Callithrix jacchus: one gene and its partner. The protein of the gene in region 2 binds, or shares a complex with, the protein of the main gene of each other region. Links are inferred from orthologs where the notes say so. Each region holds a gene or a part of one and is shown on either strand. Other genes may lie near its edges.

What was found.
Region 1: the proteins of MCHR2 (region 2) and PMCH are in contact, whole or in part, in a cryo-EM structure (PDB 8WST), measured with the Homo sapiens proteins. The link is inferred for Callithrix jacchus from reciprocal best matches to the Homo sapiens genes MCHR2 and PMCH. Residues at the interface, in NP_001035269.1 of Homo sapiens: His82, Gln92, Trp93, Gly96, Gly97, Thr110, Asp113, Gln117, Ile175, Phe177, Val181, Ser183, Cys184, Ala185, Phe186, Leu188, Thr189, Ser190, Pro191, Val194, Tyr197, Thr198, Tyr267, Gln271, Asn274, Met277, Glu278, Gln279, Pro280, Phe284; in NP_002665.2 of Homo sapiens: Leu151, Arg152, Cys153, Met154, Leu155, Gly156, Arg157, Val158, Tyr159, Arg160, Pro161, Cys162, Trp163.

The regions. Positions count from the first base shown.
Region 1 is NC_133510.1:105,230,868-105,237,428, forward strand, and holds PMCH (pro-MCH), read right to left. Parts: upstream 3,602-6,561; 5' UTR 3,539-3,601; coding exon 3,290-3,538; intron 3,285-3,289; exon of another isoform or gene 2,926-3,284; coding exon 2,727-2,925; exon of another isoform or gene 2,454-2,726; coding exon 2,404-2,453; 3' UTR 2,324-2,403; downstream 1-2,323. Other genes in the region: PARPBP (PCNA-interacting partner), read left to right, coding at 1,001-1,136, 1,699-2,039. UniProt on the Homo sapiens protein: MCH may act as a neurotransmitter or neuromodulator in a broad array of neuronal functions directed toward the regulation of goal-directed behavior, such as food intake, and general arousal. May also have a role in spermatocyte differentiation.
Region 2 is NC_133505.1:106,043,213-106,050,323, forward strand, and holds part of MCHR2 (melanin-concentrating hormone receptor 2), read right to left. Parts: intron 3,676-7,111; coding exon 3,466-3,675; intron 1-3,465. UniProt on the Homo sapiens protein: Receptor for melanin-concentrating hormone, coupled to G proteins that activate phosphoinositide hydrolysis.

The DNA of each region.
Region 1 (6,561 bases), on a different chromosome or scaffold from region 2:
CTTTATTGAATTATGTATTTGAAACTTTGTCTATTTCAGAAAACGATTTCAGGAGACTTCTAAATATTTGGAGAAATCTCTGCATTAAAACTGAATGCCGTATTACACATCATCTGTAATTGTTGAAATTGGCATTATTTATATAGGCTACTTTGTTCTAAAATTAATTTCTATCCCTCAACAGCTCACTGGTTTATGTTTGTGGAACATATTTCCAGAACTACTTTTTTTGGCATCCTTTTCAATGGTCAAGAATTAAGTTTATCTTTGTAATTTTCTCCTATTTATGTAGAAAGTCAGGCCCTCCTATTTGATATTTGTAGATAAATGCAAGAGTATATTTTGAATTTCTGACCACTAAGTCACTTGGTCAAATCCTTCTAGAATGATATATTGAATCATCTTTCTTGTTTTCTTAAATACTCAAGAAATAATGCCTTTCCAACATTATTTTGTTTTATCTTGGAGTTATTTCTTTGCTAGTTTTCTGGTTTTGATTCTTTTGACCTCACTTAGTTCTTTTTTCATCTTAGCATTTCTTCCCTCCCTAATTTCTTGAATTCCATATGCTTTTTCCAAAAGAGTCGTGTTCTTCTTAGGATGAAGAACTTGTATTTTTCTATGATTATGTATATTACCTGTATTGTTATTTTACTTACAATAAAATGCTCCAGAGCAGTGCTGACATAGGAATGTGTAACAAAGCCGTATAAAGAGTCTGAAATTGTTTTATAACTGTTACAAAAAAATAAAAAATATACATAAAGCTAGTATTTGTGGTGAAGAACAAAAATGCTAGCCATAGCAATGAATGAGTTCGCAAACTATGAAATATGAAAGGTTATAGCTTAATAAAGGATTGGGTAATTACAATGAGTAATAAATAAAAATTTCTAAGGGAAATTTTTATACCTCGATTACTACAGAGTGTGTATGTATCTAGATGAAGAAATAAAATAATGAATAAATTGCATATTTTCTTTTTTCTTTCTGTTACCAGATGAAGCAAACCTTAATTAGATCCCAATTTGCTTGTACTTATAAAGATGACAACATGATTAGCAAGGATAATTGGAAGAATATTAATGTAGCATCAAAGCCTTTGTGTGTTCTTCAGATGGAAAATAACCTTTCTGGTAATTGATCTTTTTTGTGCAATTAAAAAACAATTTAATTCTAGTCTACTAATTAGTTTTAAGTAAAACTGGATTATTTTTGCAAAGTACTATGTAATTTAAAGGTTTATATATATATATATATATATATATATATATATATATATATTTTTGAAGGCTGAAAGATTTATATTTTTAAAGACCTCAGTTTATTCAAAAAGTTAAATCTAAATACAGATTTATGGATAGGAATAGGACACAATTTGATTTAACTAAATGTATTTAAGAAGTAATATGTAGCATATGTTTAAGGATGAAATGTCATGCATTCAAACAAATATTTTAGTAGCATTGATGATTTGATTACTGGCCAAAGTTAACTCAGAGGTGCTGTGGTAAACTTAAAAGTAATGGGATAGTAATGTAGCTATATTTGTTAATTATATTATTTATAGTACTGTTTTACTTTAAAAATAAAAATTTGAATATTCTTTAGCCATTTTTAAAGTTTATTATAAAGTTCTCATGAATATTAATACTAAATATTATATAATTCCTTTCCTCTTTTTATCTTGCATAACAGAGGGCATAAATTCATCCATTGGAAGATCAACAATTGGAATGAGTTTTGGAAATGTTCATCTGGACAGAAGTAAAAATGAAAAAGTGTCAGGAAAATCAAGTAGTCAGACAGGAAATAAAAGCTCAAAAAGGAAACAGGTGGCTTTGGATGGTGAAAATATTCTCTGTGATAATGGAAATGAACCACCTCAACATAAAAGTGTTAAAATGCCTAAGAAATCAAATGATTCACAGAATAAATTGTATGGCAAACTAGCTAAAGTAGCAAAAAGCAATAAATGTACTGCCAAGAACAAGTTGATTCCTGGCCAGACAAAGTTAACTCAGTTTTTTAGACTATAAGTTTGTGTATTATATGCTTTAGGTTTATGCATATATAAAGCCATTCACCAAAGACATTCTTAATTTTTAAGAGATCAAGGTGTAAATTATGATGCTTTATTATATTGGTCTAGAGTGTATGTAAGGTTAGTATGTTAAGCATTGTTCAAAAATACTAATAAGTCATAATTATGCAGAATTTTCACAAAGTTTAATGCACAGAAAAAGCATATCATTTCGGTTACTGATATATCTTAACACTACTTTCTTTTAAATCAGACATTTAACATAAGACACAAGTTATAGTAGCATTACAGGCTTCTCTTCCCATTGGCAATTAAATGCTTCTATTTTCTTCTGAAAAGATGATGTGGACCAACAGGTATCAGATTTGCCAACAAGGTCGGTAGACTCTTCCCAGCATACATCTGAGCACTGAAGAAAGAAGAAAGTTTAAATTGTTAAAAGGATTATAATTATCACACAAAATTTATTAAGAAAAAAAAGAATGGATCTAGTACAACTAATTCTGAGTAAACCAAACTGTTAATAACTAATTAAATGCTTTTTAATCCCACATTTTTGGCAGGTGTAATCGAGCCACGGTCTTACTTGATTTTGTTATGATTGCATCCAAATTCGCTTAAACTCAGAGTTCTGTTTAATGGTGGAAGGATGTAAGAATTGAATTTTGAAAAGACTACTCACTGTCAAAATCTCTCCTTCCTATAGGAAATTTAGCTGAGTTTTCTTCATCCCCAATTTCTCTCTTTTCTTGTGTTGATTCAGTATTCTGAACTCCATTCTCAGCTGGAAAAGCTACAGATCCTTTTAGTGCAAGATAAGGTTTTATAGCCAGATTCAGTGGCAGACCATGATTTAAGAAATTATGTTTGGAGCCTGTGTTCTGTAAAGAGAAGGTTGATTTGTTTTTTAGCTATTATATTTGGAGTGGAACTATAATACAAATGTAGAATATTCTTGTTGATCAATTCAAAGATGCTCTGTACTGTTTTTGACTCTTTAAAAAAACCTTATATGCAAATTTATAGGAGAAAAAATACCCTTTTAGATAAGAGGTTCTCCAGGATGGAAGAACTACCTGGCATATAAGAAATATTGGCAGTTATCCTAATACATATTGTGACTGTTTACATATATTTCTGTTTATAAATGTATCAGTTTTTTTATAAAAGTATCAATTTTCAGAGGATTTGTAAGAATCATTTAAATTTTCATTGAAATAAATGACAAGTCACAGTGCCACTTACCTTTAAATTTTTGTTTTCCTCTTCGTTCATGAAACTGCTTTCATCATTTTTATATTGTTCCAGGGAAGGAGCAATAACTGATTTTTCTGCAGTGTCTTCCTTCTGAAAGGCTTTCCCCAACCTGAATGTATTAAATACCATGTCATCATCTAAATTTCTTATGGACTTGGATGCTGAAAGTAAAATACCTTGAGAAAACAAAGAAAAAGTTAGTATTAATATGTAGGAAGAGAGATTCATTTTTGCCATTCTTAGTTTGATGTCTGCATACAGTCAAATGAGAAAGAAAATGAAAAATTTCTCAGTCAGCCTGCTTGGCAAATGATTCCATATCTTTATATATTTTCCAGCTTGAATAGAAAGCACTTCAAAGAATTATACTTTTTGTTATCTTAGAAATGACTCATCAGATTGAGGCTAATCTTTTATACAGTTGCTAATACCTATATTGTTTTGGTTTTAGTGGCACATTGTTTACTTTGAGTGTGAATTTTCTTAGAATCTGATTAAAATCCTTGGTAGAATGCTTTCTGTTGAGTAGATTATAGTCTCTTAAAGATGGGTTGTTATTCAGGAAGACCACAGGACATCAGGCTCTCTCTATATTATTGTTTCCCTCTGTATTTTCTGATTAAGTAAAGATATTAAAACTCAAGTTACTTCACTCAAGGATAAGGATAAAGTTTTATTTCCTTTTAATCCTGATTAAACCAAAATAATCCTCAAAAAGGATTTTCTTTTATAAATACTTGATATAGTGTTTGGTGATTAAAGTACATATGCCTGTCAGTGGGAACAAAAAGCTATTTATGCGACATCAAAAATTGTCAGGTGTATTTTATCTCTGCATTTACAAAAGGATAATATGTACAAATACTTATTAATGAATTTAGCAATTAATGAAGTCCATGAAAAGAATATGTATGTGCCCCACAAACATTAATTTTGGATGAGTGTATATTGTATGATTTTTTCATTTCAGAGTTAATTTCTAATTTTGACCCCAATGAGTAAGATAATACATTCTTTTATATGTCTTCTGGTACATATATATAAGAATTTTTCTAGAGTATATTTCTCAGTATGAAATTGCTGGGTCATGGAGTATGTATATGTTCAGCTTTACTAATGCCAAAATATTTTCCAAAATAGTTATAAGTCATTTGTTCCCCCGATAAGCAGGGTGTGAGAGTTCCCATTGTTCCACGTCCGAGCTAACTCTAAGGTATTTCATTATCCTTTTATTTATATTTTCCTAATTACCAAAGAGGTTAAGTGTCTCCCCATATGTTTACAGTTTTTGTTTTGTTTTGTTTGTTGCTTTGTCTGTTTTCTATTGGGTTTTTTTTTCTAATTTATTTGTGTTCTTTATGTATTCTGGATATTTATTATTAGTTTCATTATATTGTATTTTCTGTCTGTTTGTGGCCTGTATTTTCAACCCCTCTGTGGTGTTTTTTGGTGAACCAAACTGATTAATTTTAATGTTCACATTTTTTTTCTTTTTTCTTTATGGCAGTGACTTTTTTTGTGTATGTGAGAGAAAGATGCTTGCATTCATTTTTTAAAATATTTTAATTTCTGAAGTAATGTGCAGAATGTACAGGTTTGTTACATAGGTATACACTTGCCATGGTGGTTTGCTGGACCCATCAACCTGTCATTTATATTAGGTATTTCTCCTAATGCTTTCCCTCCCCTACCCCGCCCCCCTACCCCCTAACAGGCCCCAGTGTGTGATGTTCTCCTCCCTGTGTCCATGTGTTCTCATTGTTCAACTCCCACTTATGAGCGAGAACATGTATTTGGTTTTCTATTCCTGTGTTAGTTTGCTGAGAATGATGGTTTCCACCTTCATCCATGTCCCTGCAGAAAACATGAACTCATCCTTTTTATGGCTGCATAGTATTCCATGGTGTATATATGCCACATTTTCTTTATTCAGTCTATCATTGATGGGCATTTGGGTTGATTCCAAGTCTTTGCTATTGTAAACAGTGCTGTAGTAAACATATGTGTGCATGTGTCTTTATAGTAGAATGATTTATAATCTTTTGGGTGTATACCCAGTAGTCGGATTGCTGGGTCAAATGGTATTTCTAGTTCTAGATCCTTGAGGAATCGCCACACTGGTCTTCCACAATGGTTGAACTAATTTATACTTTGTAAAAAAAAGCATTCCTATTTTTCCACATCCTGTCCAGCATCTGTTGTCTTCTGACGTTTTAATGATCACCATCTAACTGGCATGAGATGGCATCTCATTGTGGTTTTGATTTGCATTTTCTAATGACCAGTGATGATGAGCTTTTCTTCATATGTTTGTTGACTGCGTAAATAAATATCTTCTTTTTTTTTTTTTAAGACGGGGTTTCACCATGTTGGTCAGGCTGGTCTTGAACTCCCAACCTCAGGTGATCTGCCTGCCTTGGCCTCCAAAGTGCTTGGATTACAGGCATGAGCCACCACGCCTGGCAATAAATATCTTCTTTTGAGAAGTGTCTGTTTATATGCTTTGCCGACTTTTTGATGAGGTTGTTTTTTACTTACAAATTTGTGTAAGTTCTTTGTAGATTCTGGATATTATTAGCCCAGATGGATAGACTGCAAAAATTTTCTCCCATTCTGTAGGTTGTCTGTTCACTCTGATGATAGTTTCTTTTACTGTGCAGAAGCTCTTTAGTTTAATTCCATTTGCCTGTTTTGGCTTTTGTTTCCATTGCTTTTGGTGTTTTAGGCATGAATTCTTTGCCCATGCCTATGTCTTGAATGGTATTACCTAGGCAATACCATCTAGGCAACTACTTTTAATGCATTGTTTTTTAGAAATTCTTCTCAATCCTTAGATTATTAACATATTTTCATATATTTTCTTCTGTAAGTTTAAATATTTTGACTTTCATGTTTAGGGTTGTAATTCATCTGTAATTTCGTGTATAAGATAGAGATGTAATTTTACTTTGTCCAGTGTTCTTATCTATTTCTTGAAGAATTCATCCTATCTGCACTAATCTGCAGTGCCATCTCTGCAGTATATCAGATTTCTGTATATGTGTGGGCTCCTTTCAGAACATTCTATTCCACAGCCAAATCTATAATGTTAGTATAACTTTAAATAATTTTTAATATCTAGTAGGTCAAATTTCCCAGCCTTCTATTCACCCATATGTTTTTCTTTTACAACAGTTCCTTAGCTATTCTTAGTCATTTCTTTTCCATATAAATCTTAAAATCAGCTTTTCAAGTTCTTTAAGAATACTTGACAGGATATT
Region 2 (7,111 bases):
TCAGAAGGAAGGCTATTTGAAAAAGCACAGCTTTGCTGGGGTCTGCGGGTGGTAGAGGATAGTATTAGTAGAAATTCAACAAATGTAAAAATTGTTTCTATGGTCATTTAATTTTCTCCAAGTTTTTGTAAAGCTATTTAATGAAGACTCATAAAAATGAAAAATTTATTGTCTTCTTGTTCTTTCAATTTTGCACCAGAAGCAGGATATTTTGCATTCAGTTAAGGGACCTTTGGCATGCAGAGAGTGGTTTCTGATCAGGGCTCCACAGCTACCCATCCTTTGCATGGTGCACAAGCATTCCCCGTGGCTAAGGAGAGAAGAGCCTCTTTTCTCCCTGCTGGGGAAGTGGATGATGTAGTGACTGCATAGCAGCCCAGTCTTCATTTTTACTGGAATTATAGGATGATGAAGTCATGGCATCAAGCAATTAAGGAATCTTTTCTGATAGCCTCCCTCCCCAGCTAAAAACCTTTCAGTGGTTTTCCATCGATTTTCAGAATTCCTTCCATGATCCACAGGTATTTTTTTTTCACCTGGTACTGCCTGCCGCTCAAGCTGGAGCCTGTGCTAGTCTCTCCCTTGACTTCCTCAAAGCTCTTCCCATTTCAAGGTCAGGCACATGGTGTTCTACCTGCCTGACAGGATCTGCCTCTGCTTCTTCCTGCTCTTCCTTCAAGTTCCTATTTAATTGTCTCCCTCTTAGAGAAGCCTTCTCTGACCACCCATTCTATACTAGAGAACATAACTATAAAAGATTATTTTAAAAAAAGATTGTAGGTAGACTCTGCTTTTCCCCCTAGTGTGTTATCACTATGTGGAAATATACATTTACTTGTGGGACTCCTCACTTAATGTCTGTCTATACCAGTAGAATGAAAGCCCCATGAGGGCAGGAGCCTTGATTATTAGTTTAAGGCCACTGTATCCTATGTGTCCAACAATCTCTAGCATATGGTTCATGCTCAATAAATATTTTTTGAATAAATTAATGAATAAATTGCAAATTTTGGCTCCTACTTACTGACTCTTGATGTTTTAGAGAATTTATTTATAAAAGTAGCCACTAATGAAAGTCTAGGTAGCTTTCATTTGAAGGCAAACATTTTGAATGTTTATATATTGTTTTCTTATGGCTATAGAGATAGGAGTTCACTACTAAACATTCTATACACTTGCAGTTATTACTAATTAGGGAAAGAAAATGAGTTATTGGAAACACTTAAAACGTATAATCCATTAAACTGGCAATTAAAATGATTTAAATATGTAACCACTAAGGCATATTGATGGCACTGACATTTAGTTATGCTCTTACAAAGCAAGCCTCATTTCTCTTTTACAAAACTGCAGATTTTGTTAAACTTTGATGAATTTAGTACAGTTAGAATTACAAGAAATATGAAGAAGGAAATAGTTCCATTTTATATCCTCTTCATTTGTTTCTTACCACCTGATCTTACAGAGTGAAGGCCAGGGGAAAGAAAGGGCAGAATGTCTTAAATGTGAAACGAAATTTTAGCATACTATGTACATTAGATTAAAACAAAACAAAATAAAACAAAAGGCTAGGTGTAAGATACACATGCATGCATGTGTGCACACGTACACAGAGAAAAACCTGTCAATATTAGGAAATACATGCAGTTGGTCTGCTCCAAGACAGAAAATGCCAATTTACTTCATTTATAGTAAGAAATTTACAGGAGTATATATATTTTTTTCCCCCAAAAAAGCCAATATTCTCTTGCATCCAAGGCACAGGGTATAAAAAAGCTCATATTATCCCCAAGATGGGATTACTATTGGTATGGCCTGTACTTTAAGTTGCTTTTCTACAGTGAACCTGGTCTGTTCAAGGCCTTCTTCCTGGTATTGAAACCCTGACAAGCTTCTGGGGCTTTTCTCACAACACAGTCACATTGGCTGGCGTCAGCTGAGCTAACTAGACCTATGCCATGTATTGATTTAAAAATGTGTTAATTATAAGTTGAAAAGCACATTCTATATTTTGAAAATTCTCTTGCAGAAAAAATGATTTTTTAAAATTTACCATGATTATTTATTTTTTTAAGAGTGAATGATTTATATAAACCTTGCCAATTTTTTTTTGTTCATCTAAAGAATGGCTCATCACTTCCCCACCGAAAGTCCCATTTGGAAGAGTGAAAGAGGCAGGGTTAAAGAATATTTCTGGATGAACCCAGGGAAATTTAACATATTCTTCAAGACATTCATTCATTCATTCATCAATATTTTTTGAGCACCTGAGTGCCAGGCACTGTTACGCACACACATTTAGGATATATTGGTGGACAAAGACCCTGCCCTGGTGGAATTTACATTTGAGGTGCAGGGTAACTAGACAATAAATCACACACACACACACACACACACACACACACACACAGTGATTTATGTAATATATTTGAAACCAAGGAAAAAGACAGTAGATCAGAGCAAGGATTAAATATGTTGGGTTAAGGTTGGGTTGGGAAGGAGGCAGATGGAGATTTTAAGTGGGTTGCTCTGGAGGACAGATTATCACTGTTGGAAATACTATGGTTGTCTTTAGGCCCTGTTTCTGTTTGGGGTGAGCTGCTAGGACCTGGTGGGGACATTCTGCATCTGGATAATACAGGTCTCATCCTAGATAGCAAGTTTTCTAGACAGGCCAGACAGTGAGGCAGTTACAACTACCTGCCATTTCTACAGGCAGATGGCTTGGGTCTGAACTGAGCTCTCCCACTCACTGACTCCATAAGTACTAACCACCATCATTATCTCCTCAAACAACATTAGCTTACATGGATGGTGAAAAGGGCTATGGCACATTCCAGGATATAGTGGAATACATTTCTAATGATATAAAATGACAGCATTTGTATTAACCAATCACAATAATGTTTGTAAAAGATGGTCTTCCTGGCACTGGGAAATTGCTTCATGGTCATATAGGAACCTCTACTCCACCGAATCCTTAGAGCTATGAGGTAATAACCAGTATATGAGACAGTAAACGTATCAGAAATAGCCCTGGACAGGGACTAAGGAAACCTACTTTAATTCTTGGCTCTGCCACTAATTCTCTGTGTCCTTCTAGCAAATCTCCTCACCTCTCTGGGCCTCAGTTTTCTTATTGTAAAAATGATGGGGGAAATTCATTCCGGTTTCTAATATTTCATGGTTTTGTGATTTTCTTCTTACAGTGAATTGCAAATAAAGCGGAGTCAAAAAGAATGATTAGAAAAAAAGAGATTGTTGTATTTTACTTTGCATTAAAAATAGAACCTCTGTGAAAATTAAACGAAATATTTGTAAGTAATCAGTCCTGCAATGAAGCAAACAAACGAAGAAGAGCTGTGCTGTTATAAACCATAACTGATGTTGCTTAAATTGGAATGAGCTTGGGGAAGCACAGGCACCTCTGAATTTTATTAAGATATTTCAAAGTCCTTAACTTACCTGTCCACACTCATTACAGTCATGATGGCACTACAGGCAAATTGATTGCAAGTATCTAGGGATGTGATGATGGTGCAGAGAGGGCCCCCAAACACCCACTCTCCCCCTCGGACCCACTGGTGAATAAGAAAGGGCATTCCAACGATGTGAACCAAATCAGCCACAGCCAGGTTGCAAATATAGATGTCAGGGACTGTTTTTTTCCTGGATCTGAAAGAGATGGAGGAAACTGAGGATTGACACTGAATGTATGCAGACTCTTCAATATATGCTACCTGATACAAATTTTTAATTGCCATAACGCATTTTAAATGTTAAAGGAAAACCTACACAAACACATAGAGCAAATGCCTAGACTTGTGTATATTTAAGCATTTTGAACTATTTATTTGGTAATTTACTGTGATGGTTTAAAAATATGTCCACAAGTCAGGTTCAGTGGCTCGCGCCTGTAATCCCAGCACTTTGGGAGGCTGAGGTGGGTTGATCACCTGAGGTCGGGCATTGGAGACCAGCCTGGCTAACATAGTGAAACCTCATCTCTACTAAAAATACAAAAAATTAGCTGGGTATGGTGGCAGGCACCTGTAATCCCAGCTACTAGGGAGACCAAGGCAAGAGAATCGCTTAAACTCAAGAGGCAGAGGTTGCAGTGAGCCAGGATCACACCATTGCACTCCAGCCTGGTCAACGAGAGCAAAACTCCATCTTGAAAAAAAAAATGTTCACAAATTCTTTGACATTCCTTTCAATAGTTGGAGCCTAATTCCCTCTCTTTGACTGCTGATCTTATTAATTTGCTTGTAACAATGAGAATATGGCAGAAGTGACAGTGTGTGACTTTGAAATTAGGTCACAAAGTTATTGTGGGGGTTTCTCTTTGCTCTCTGTTGGATTGCTCTCCCTGGCGGAAGCCTGCTGCTATCTTGTGAGAATACTCAGGTAACAGTATGGAGAGGTCCACGTGGAGTGGAACTGAAAGCTCCAGTCAACAACCAGTCAGCACCAGCTTGTCAGGTATGGGAGTGAGCTACCTTGGAGGCAGATCCTCCAGCTGCAGCCAAGCCTACCGATGACTGTAACCCTGGAAGATCATGAGTGAGAATCAACTAGCTAAGCTGCTCCTGTATCTCTGACCATTGGAAACATGTGAGATAGTAAATGTTTATTGTTTCCGGCCACTTTGTTTGGGGTAATTTTTTTTGAGACGTTTGGGGTAATTTTTTTCTGCAGCAACAAGTTATACCAACTTTAAATATACTCAGGCAAAAGATTTAGTCTTTACTCACTCCTAGTATTTAAAACAGCTGAAGACTGAAAATAAATGATTTATGTTGTCTAATGCAATTTCTTCCTTTTGCAGCTGAGGCCATTGTTAAGATTTCAACAATGACTTAGAAATATTCCAGTAAAATCTAACGATTAGCAAATACTGTTAATAAAGACCCTGAGATCCAGACAAGGAGGACAGTCATCTGAAAAGAGGGAGCTGATAGATGGCACTGAGAATGATCTCATGTCTCCTGTGGGGAGCAGGGGTTGGGAGAAGTGAATTCAATGCTATCTAGATGTGGCATTCTCATCACTAGGTGAAATACATTTCTAAGAGCAGAAATTTAAAATTTAATTGGTTCTTATTTTAAGGAGCTGGCACATTTGATAATAAACAGGTATCATCTTTGGGAGATGCTGTTCATTAATTCAATGAACACTTTATTGAGCATCATCAATTATATGGCAGGCATAATATTGTGCTCTGAAGCTGTAAAGCTAAATTATGTATAAACCCTATCATCAAGGAGCTTATCGTGTAGACATGCATAAATAAACAATCACATTACAATTTGATAGGTGAAAACTAGAGACAAGTACAAGAGCGCAAAGAAGGAGACCCTCTCCTCTTTTGTGGGAAGTGTTAAGACAGGTTTCTTGGCAGATGTGGACAAATATGAATTTAAAGAGCATATAAGAAACAGTCCTAAAATTATGCCACAGTTTCTAGTTTTCTCCTATTTCAGGACTAGTGCTCTGCTGTTTGGAAGTTATTGTGTGTCTTCATTATTCATTGGCTACAACTTCTATAGCCCATGAACTTCATTTCTCAGCTGTCAGATTCTCATGTGAAACATCAGACGGGGTGAGCCCATCTCTTCTCCAGGCCTTGGTGGCATTCACTCTGTGGAGGGGTTACTGCCATGGAGTCCTTATTCAGCAACCATACCATTCAACAACAGGTTGTTGCCACTAAAAAAACAGGTTGGTATCTTGCCCTCAGGAGCTTGGTGGCCCACACCAGAATGACGAAGAGGGAGAAGAAACCCGAAGGAAAGATCATGTCAAACAAAAGAGCAGCCAGCTGGCTGTCCTTGTACTCTCATTCCCTGTCCTCTCAGGGTCATTGAGAGTGGGAAATGGAGAAGGGATAGGGAAGAGGGACAGATATTAGCAGTCAGAAAGAGCTACAATCTAAAAAAAAAAATCATAAATCTTAGTCTATAAATAGATGTTATTTGCATGTTGGGGGTATAAACCATAAGCAATTGCTTAGGTCTCAATTGCAGTAATTAGATCCACGGCTCTTGCTTTTCTCTGGAGGGGTACCTATCGTTTACTGATAATGAATTATGGTAATTCTATTGTGGGGACAGTGCAGGCCATTAATTGGCAATTAAAAAGAATTAAATAAAGTGTTTCTAGATCATATTCTGTATAGTACAAAGAGAATTTGAAGCAATGGATAAATGTATCTGGACATAAATTACTAGGGCAATATAAATAATGCATTATATTTATTGTTGTCTTCTTTACTGAAAGCCACAACATCAAAATTAAAAACAACTAAATAGAAATTGTAGAATCTCTAACTACATAAATTATATTCCTTTTTAGGTCTCATTTATCTTCAGATTTCCTGTTGTCAGACTTCATGAGATTTATGTTTCTTATGATGTATACATTTAAAATAAAATACAAAGACTTGTGATAATTTTGACTAACATGTTCCATATGGTTAATGTGGTCATATCTAATGCTCATTAATTTGAGGAATGGTAAAATAAATTATGGAATTATGGTACTCCACACTACCACACTCAATAGGATGTAGCTGTTGTAAGTCATAGTTTGAAAGAATATTTAATCAGATGGGAAAATACTTATACTATTAAGTTAAAAAATTAAATAAATTTAGAGTCATGCTATATACATAATCGGCATTCTTTCTTTTTTAGAAATTCTTTTTTTCCCACCCCTTCCCCCAAGAATTTCTTAAATATACATAATCAGTATTCTTTCTTTTTTAAGAAATTTTATATAATTCTTTAATTATATAAAATTATGTATATAGCATGACTCTAAATTTATTTGTAAAAATTTTGCAGGAACAATATGTCAGGTGATGACAGTGATCACCTATTTGGTGACTGATATTTTACTTTATTGTTTGTATTTTGTGACTTTTTTCAAAATTTGTATTAAAACCATGTGAACCTTTTACAATCAGAAATAACAATATATGATATGGATTAAGTAAAACTAACAAAACATAACACTACATATGTGGGCTGCTGTGCTTGTCATTTGCCAGCCTGTCCTCAGGCCCCTTTGCCAACTGGCTTCTGATTAGGTTTGGCCAATCAAGTACCAC